Linked DNA regions of Cricetulus griseus. The protein of the gene in region 1 interacts with the protein of each later gene in a pairwise test. Links are inferred from orthologs where the notes say so. Each region holds a gene or a part of one and is shown in the gene's direction. Other genes may lie near its edges.

What was found.
Region 2: the proteins of Mob3c (region 1) and Zbtb10 interact in binary tests that used the Homo sapiens proteins (3 or more experiments, as listed by UniProt). The link is inferred for Cricetulus griseus from reciprocal best matches to the Homo sapiens genes MOB3C and ZBTB10.

The regions. Positions count from the first base shown.
Region 1 is NC_048595.1:36,509,867-36,513,771, reverse strand, and holds the start of Mob3c (MOB kinase activator 3C), read left to right. Parts: upstream 1-916; 5' UTR 917-1,049; intron 1,050-3,905. UniProt on the Homo sapiens protein: May regulate the activity of kinases.
Region 2 is NC_048595.1:138,601,380-138,605,254, reverse strand, and holds the start of Zbtb10 (zinc finger and BTB domain-containing protein 10), read left to right. Parts: upstream 1-840; 5' UTR 841-930; coding exon 931-1,932; intron 1,933-3,875. UniProt on the Homo sapiens protein: May be involved in transcriptional regulation.

The DNA.
Region 1 (3,905 bases):
TTTTCAAGGGAGAAATCTAGGTAGAAAAGTGGGCAATGAACATCAAGTATGGAAAGGTTTGAACCCGTTTGGAAAGGGTTGGGGGAGAAGCCATTCTGTAGAACAACAACGGAGACAATGGCTTGGAGATAGGATATAGGATATAGGTGACTTTGGTTGGTGTGAGAATCTACCCAGCCAGAACAAGGTCTCCAGCTGGTGTGGGGAAGGTGACATCTTCTTTGAACGTTCTCTGGGAAGGAGGGTGGAGGAATCAGTCCTTCCTCTCAGGAGTAACCCTGTCCACGACTCCCTATAGCTATTCACTCAATGGCTGGCTGGCTGGCTGGCTGGCTGGCTGGCTGGCTGGCTGGCTGGCTGGGAGAGGGTGTCGCTACACAGCCCTGGACTAGCCTGGAGTTCACAGAGATCTGCCTGCCTCTGCCTCCCTAGTGCTGGAATTAAGACATGCTCCCTCCCTCCCTCCACCACCAGCAGCATCTAGCCTTGAGTGCTGTTTGTGATAGTGGGCTGAAGCTGAATATAGGCTGTTAGGAACCCTATAGAGTTCAGAGACAAGTGAAGCTCAGATGACTGCGGGAGGACTAGGAAACCATTCAAACCACAAGGGTTTTGTTTTTTTCTTTCTGCTTCAGGGAGAAGCTGGAGTTACTCCCATTCTACAGCCTAGGAATCTGAGGCCGCCTTCTTAAGAAAGATCCAGACGGTCCCCTGGGGCGGCTGCTCAGTAAGTCCTCGGCCCTAGGGGAGGCTGCGAGCTCCACCGGACTTCCCACTTCCCGGAAAGGCTGGAGAGAAGAGTGTGTGTCCTGGGACGGGGGAGTCCCTTTCCCCGCCCCTCCCCGCCCCGTGGCCACGGCGTGGCTGAGCCCGGGGCGGAGCTGGCGTCTGCTCGCGGACGAGCGGCGGGACGGCGGCCGCAGCCCGGGGCAGGCAGGCGGACAGGCGCGGAGACCGGCCCGGCGGGATCACCCGCAGGAGGACGAGCCAGCCCGCTGCGGTGTGGCCGCACCGACAGAGACCCGGAGCTGTCCACCTAGGCGGAGCGCGTGAGTGAGAGCCGCGTCTCCGCGCCCCTCGCGGCCCGGTCTTGCTTCCACTTTCAGTTCTTCTTGGTCCTCGCTTGCCAACTTCTGGAAGCGACCCGAGCCCGAAAGCAGGCTGGCCACAGTCCTCAGCCCCGGGTCCAAGGCTCAGCGCCCGAACGCCGGGGTGGGGGGTGGCGGTGGCGGTGGCTGGTGAGGGGGCGTGTCTTCAGGAGCGGAAACGTCAGGCGGGCTCCTCTGGGTCCTAGGACCTGTTTGGCCCTAACTGCTGGAGATAAAGGGAGGTTCTTAGGAGCTCAAAGGAGGGGAGGGGGCGGGTCTGGCTGGACAGTAGCTGTGTCTTACACTCCTACTTTTATATTAGATCTTGTCCTGCAGGGCATACCTGGCTAGATTCTGAGTTCAGACTGGGGCGGTTTCTGAGCCAGGCCTGGGAGGGGCAGGTGTGTCCCTGGCAGGGGGCTAGATATTAGAAACAGGCTGGGTCGGTCAACCTTTGCTCTTCATCTGGGAAGATTAGATGCTCAGTCATGGAGTGAGCAAACTACTGGCCACTCACCCAGTAATTAAAGTGGAGGGTCCACTGGGAGAGAGGGCCCAGAGGCTCTGGAAGAAACAGTCTCAGTGATGGCATGAGGCTGGGGAGAGAACAGCGGTAAGAGACATAGCTAGAAGGGGACCTGCCCTCTTAGCTTACCTCCTGTACTCCAAGTTTACTCTTTCTAGGAAAAGTCCTGGGCCTTAAGTTCTACAGCAAGGAGGTGGGGCCTCTCTACTCCCTTCCTCTCCTCTTATCTACACCAGGCCAGTGGCCAGACAGCAGGAAAAGGGTCCTTTGTACCTTATTAGAGGCTAAGTCCCTCTCTATCCCAACCACCTACTTCTTATAACTTTCTATGCAAAGTTGGGCTCCTCAAATCCTGATTCTGGGCTTCAGTTTCCCCATCTGCTCATGTAGGTTAGGCCACTTGATTTTTCAGAGCTGTTTCAACTTGAAGACTTGTATTCCTATATGTCTGGTATTGTGGGTAAGTGAAGGTGGGCATGCAGGTATGGAGGCTGACATCAGTTATCTTACTCACTCTCCACTTCATTTATTGAGGCAAGGTCTATTTTTAAAAAATAATTACATTTATTTATGTGTACGCACACACACACACACACACACACACACACACGTATGTACCACAATGTACATGTTATAGTTAGAGACAGTTGGTGGGAGTTCTCTCCTTCTACCATGAGGGTCCCTCAGGCCAGTAAGTTTACCCATTGAGACATCTCACCAGCCCAAGGCAAGGTGTTTCTGAACCTGGGGCTTGCAGGGGTTCCCTGCCTCTACCTCCTAAGTTCTAGGGTTACAGAAGGCTGCCAGGTCTTGTCAGGTTTTTCATAGGTTCTGGAGATCAAAACTGGTCCTCATGCTTGCACTACAAGCTCTTTACCCACTGAACCATCTCCCCAGCCAACTCTAAGACTCTTGAGTCTAAGCTTTCCCTAAAGCCCGGCCACCAATGTTATGCCAGTCTGACTTTATCTAGAGGGCTTAGGGACAGAAATGGCAGAGTGGTCACCATACAAGGTTGAGATCTGGAGGAGGGTGCTGAAGGAGGTAGCATTCAGTAGGATGGAATGAGAAATCAGGAATCTAGCAGCAAAAGACACACATGCAGGAGAGAGTAAGGGCATGCTCAGGGATCAAGGAGAAGCCCAGGGTGGCTGCTGGTGGGAGGTGGAGTGGGGAAGTTAGGGTGTGGAGTTGAAAAGTAAGAGTCTATAACAGTCAGTAATGGTTGGCCATATCAAGGTGGAGGACCCAGAAACCCCACTGATTGCATGAGTGGTTTTGGAAATCCTGCCCCAGGCAGAGCTTACAAGGGAGACAGCAACTGAAGTATACAGAGCTCTTCATTCAGGAAGTTCAGGCCCCAGCCTGGCATTTCTTTGAGAAGAAGCTGGGGGGTGGGCAGAATAAATGAGAGAAACTTCCATACGTTCAAGCTTCTCTCAAGTGGTCAGGAACTCTCTCTGCCCTCTAAACTACTCTCCTTTTTCCTGATTGATCCATTCTGCTTGCCTGCTGTGATGAGAAGGAAAAACTGTTCCAAACATTTCTGTAAGTTTGATTTGTTGCCAGAAGTAACATCTCTCTGTACTCTATGCCTTTGGTTACCTAACCAACCTAACCCCCACCCTCTCTATCCTGGTCCTGCCACAGCAGTTAACAAAAATGTGAGAAAGGAAATTGCTTCAAAGTCAAGCCAGTCTGAGGTGAAGGATAAGCTTTGTCTGCCACTGTCTCAGGCCTCATTCAGTGTGGAGCTAGACTCGGGGTTTAGACAAACCAAGGTTGAGAACAAGTCAGAGTCAGCATGGAGCCCGAGCTCAGTGCTTAGCTTATACAGCCTAGCGGTCAGGGTCTGTGCTCCGTTTATTCCAGTCTTGGCAGTAGCCTGGATCTGTATTCCCCAGTAGTCATATACATTGGTGGGAGAGATGAAATGCCGAAGATGCTCAGAAACCTGACTAAATCAGAGTGTTCAAAGATTTACAAGGACTAAATCCGTGGTGATGTAAGCAAGCCAGTTTTGAATCAGGGGCTGGATCCCAGGACTTTGGGGGCTCTGATTGATGCCCCCTGAAGTCTGTTCTGAGTCTGGCAGCCTTCTGTTCTAAGAGGCAAAGCAAACATCCAGAAGGACCAGCAGGATGGATCTGGCTGCTCCCCCTGCCCCAGGGTAACAGGTGCATAGTAGGCATGCTGGCAATCATGTGGAGTGCCAGGTGTATTCAGTGGCTTATTCAGGTTTGGGGCTGAAGGAGGTTGGCTTAGAGGAAAGGAGCATTAGCATTTGTCGG
Region 2 (3,875 bases), about 100 Mb from region 1:
AAGGCCGGGGCGCGCTCCCACCGCAGTTACTCCTGGAGTCCCAGGTGAAGTCGTGGCGACAGCAGGGCACGGTGCGCCGGGGCGCGCGGCGGCGAGGCGGTCCCTGACACCCGCCAGCTGTTTGTCCTAGCCGAGCCGGCCCCGCCCCGAGACCCCGGCCCCGCGCCCCGCCCGCGGCCGCTCGCCGCTCGCTTCCTTCCCGCGGCCGCACCCCCGCCCGCGGGCCTGAGCGGCCGGGCCCCTTTCCCGGTCCCCCGGCGCCCCCGGCCCAGCCCAGCCCGGCCCAGCCCCCCCCTCCCCGGCCGGCCCCCACCCTCTCCCCCTCCAGCGGTTACTGCTACCCCGGTGCATTGTGGGCGCACGGTCCGTTGTTCATTTGCCATTCGACCTCCGCCAGGGCCTGGTCGGACGGAAACGCTCCGCCGGCTTTATTGTCGGCTCGCTATGTGGCGGAGCCCAGAGGCTTAGCGCGCCTCTCGCGTCTGCGCCTCGGCAGCCGGCGGCGGCGGCGCGGCTCCCCCGAGGACTGAGAGCTGTTGGCGGGCCGGTGTGTGCGCGCGGCGCTGAAGCGGGGCAGCGGAGGGGCGTCCGCACTCCTCCTCAACTTCGAAGGCCGCACGCGCCCCGGCTCGCCGCTCCGCCGCCCGCCCACCTCTCCGCGCGGACGCTGCCCGGAGCACGGCGGGGCGGGGGTGGAGAGGACGCGGCCGGACAGCGGCGGCGGCGGCGGCGGCGACGCGTGCGGCGGCCCCGGGAGCGAGGCGAGCCGGCGGGAGGGTGAGGCGGGCCGGCGGGAGCGCAGCTCAGCGCAAGCGCGCCCGGGGGCGGGGGGGGGGTGAGACGTTGGGGAGCCGCGGCGAGCGAGCGGGACGGGGCCCGAGGCGGTGTGCGAGCCGAGGCACCGGGCGGGCGGCGGCGGCGGCGCGCGCCATGTTCAGTGAAATGAACCGCAGGACGCTGGCGTTCCGAGGAGGCGGGTTGGTCACCGGCGGTGGTGGCGGCGGCGGCGGCCGGCGCCCCACGAACAATAACGCTGGCGGGAGGCCTCTGCTTGGCCTCCGCGGCCGCATCCGCGACAGCCCGCGCGCCGCGCGCGCCGCTGCAGCCAATGGGCGCGGGGCCGACGAGGAAATGGCAATCGGAGGGCCTGGAGCCCCAAGACTCGGAGGCCTCCGCCGGGCGGCCGCCGCCGCCGCCGCCGCCCCGCTGCCGGCCGCCGCCGCCGAGGACGCCAAGGAGTTGCTGCTCCCTCAGGACGCGGGCGGCCCCGCCTCGCTGGGCGGCGGCGCGGGGGGCCCCCTGCTAGCGGAAAGGAACCGTCGGACTCTGGCCTTCCGCGGGGGAGGCGCCGGGGGTCTCGGCAACAATGGCAGCAGCCGCGGCCGCCGGGGGACCTCGGCGTGGCCCCTCAGGCATTTCAATGGGCGAGGGCCGGCGGCCGTGGATCTGGAGCTGGACGCGCTGGAGGGGAAGGAGTTGATGCAGGACGGCGCGTCCCTGAGCGACAGCACCGAGGAAGAGGAGGAGGGGGCGAGCCCCGGCGACGGCAGTGGGGCGGAAGGCGGCAGCTGCAGCAGCAGCAGGCGGTCGGGAGGCGATGGCGGGGACGAAGCGGAGGGCAGCGGTGTGGGAGCTGGCGACGGAGAGACTGTCCAGCACTTCCCGCTTGCGAGGCCCAAGTCCCTCATGCAGAAGCTCCAGAGCTCCTTCCAGACCTCTTGGCTCAAGGACTTCCCTTGGCTGCGGTACTCCAAGGATACTGGCCTTATGTTTTGCGGCTGGTGCCAAAAGACCCCCGAGGATGGGGGCAGCGTGGACCTTCCCCAGCTGGGGCGTGATGAGCTTTCGCGAGGGACCCGCAACTATAAGAAAACCCTGCTCCTGAGGCACCACGTCTCCACCGAGCACAAACTCCACGAAGCCAACGCCCAGGTACTGTAGATCTGCTCTTGCTTTTTTTTTTTTTTTTCTTTTTTTTTTTTTTTTGAGACCTTTTGGGAAAGGTTTATCAGTGAAAAAGACTAAAACTAAAGCAAAGAAAGAAAGAAAAAGACCTCCCCGGGTGAAGGCGTCCTTCCCATCCAGAGAGATTCGGGGGAGCTTATGCGTAGGGGTTTAGAAAGCCTGGGAACAAAGTTTTCCAAAGTTGTGGATGTATTGGGGGAGGGGTGGAACGACAGTTTCCTAATGATAGCGCTGGATCTCTCCCTCCCTCCCTCCTTCCCTCCCTCTCTCTCTCTCTCTCTCTCTCTCTCTCTCTCTCTCTCTGTGTGTGTGTGTGTCCGTCTGTCTCTCTCTGTCTCTCTCTGTCTCTGTCTCTCTCTCTTTTATGACTAAGGGTTTGTCTAAGAGATTGAATCCGAAAGAGAGGTTAGAGATTTTAGACTTAGGATTGACTTTCGATCCAAAACATTTTTATCAGCGGAGATTTTTAGAAGTCTACTGCCTTGTGTTAATACACACTGAAGTGCTAGAAGTAGACTGAAGAATGGTTAAACAGTTTCCTTAAGCTTTGGTGCTACTGGCAGTCCACTCTTAAATGCTCATGTCAGGTCGGGATAGTGTGAAATATGAGAGGCATATGTAAATATGGAGGAAGTTAGTTGAATAACGAGAATAATTTTACGATGTCTAACTCCGTTAAACTTGAACCTTCTTACCAAGGCTCACTTTTGGTAAAATTATTGTACATTTTAGTTATTTTTGTACGTATTTCTCTTCTGAGAATCTCTATTATCCTTTGAAAAACTTTGTTGTGAATAGCTTATATGAAGGGTGTTAAACTTAGCTTTGGAAATGTTTAATGTGAAGTGGTTTGGACTTCATTTACTCACTGGAAAACCATCAGTCCGTAGTTACAAAACAATCTAGGAGTTTTAATTCACTTTCCTAAAACAGTCTTACTTTAAAGATAGTAAATAACCTAACCATTTTGATAGCTCTTTTCAAGTCAAACAGATGTTGGTCAGTCCTCCTTTTTATGACTAAGACAACCTGTGGTGGTGGGTGGAATTCATTCTTTTGTATTTCTAGCCAGTCATTGATTTTAGAAAGTCAACATTCAGGTACCTCACTGGGGTGTTTATGGAGGAGCCTGCTGCTCAGCACACGTACACTGTAGTTTATTAGGCACACAAGTAACCCAGCTTATCTACCAGATATCAGAGGCTTTAGTTTTAAAAGCAAGGTCCCCCCCACCCCCAGAAAGCAGGGAAACCGTGTTTGTTTGGATTGATTTTGTTATTTGCGCAAATTACTTTTCCCAAATCTTTTGTTGTTGTTTTTTCGAGACAGGGTTTCTCTGTGTAGCTTTGGAGCCTATCCTGGCACTTGCTCTGGGGACCAGGCTGGCCTTGAACTCACAGAGATCCGCCTGCCTCTGCCTCCCGAGTGCTGGGATTAAAGGCAAGCCCCCCCCCTCCCCCGGGCATACTTTTCCTAAATCTTACAAGAAGGTTGCTGTGTTTTCAGACAGGGTCTGCTATGTAGCTCTGGCTTGGCTGTCTTGGAACTCTGTAGACCAGGTTGGCTGAAAACTCAGATCCTCCCACTGGGATTAAAGGTTTGTGCCGCCACTTGTGAAACAGGTCACTTATTTTTAAAGATGGAGCCCAGAAGTTTTTAGTAAATTGGCTTAAATCCTGGATGACAGCTGAGACTAGTGCCTATAAAGGATGTTGTAATGGAAAAGGGATGAGTTTTGAGCACATCTGGGTTCAGCTCTCTGCTTTCTGCATTACTACCTTTGGAGTGAGTTTGATAGGCCTAACATTTGTCTTGTTTTAGGTGTGCCAGACTCATTTTCATTATCCTGGAAAGTAATTTTGTTTGTTTTATAGAAGATGCATTTCAGGTATTAAAGGGCTAAGTGATAG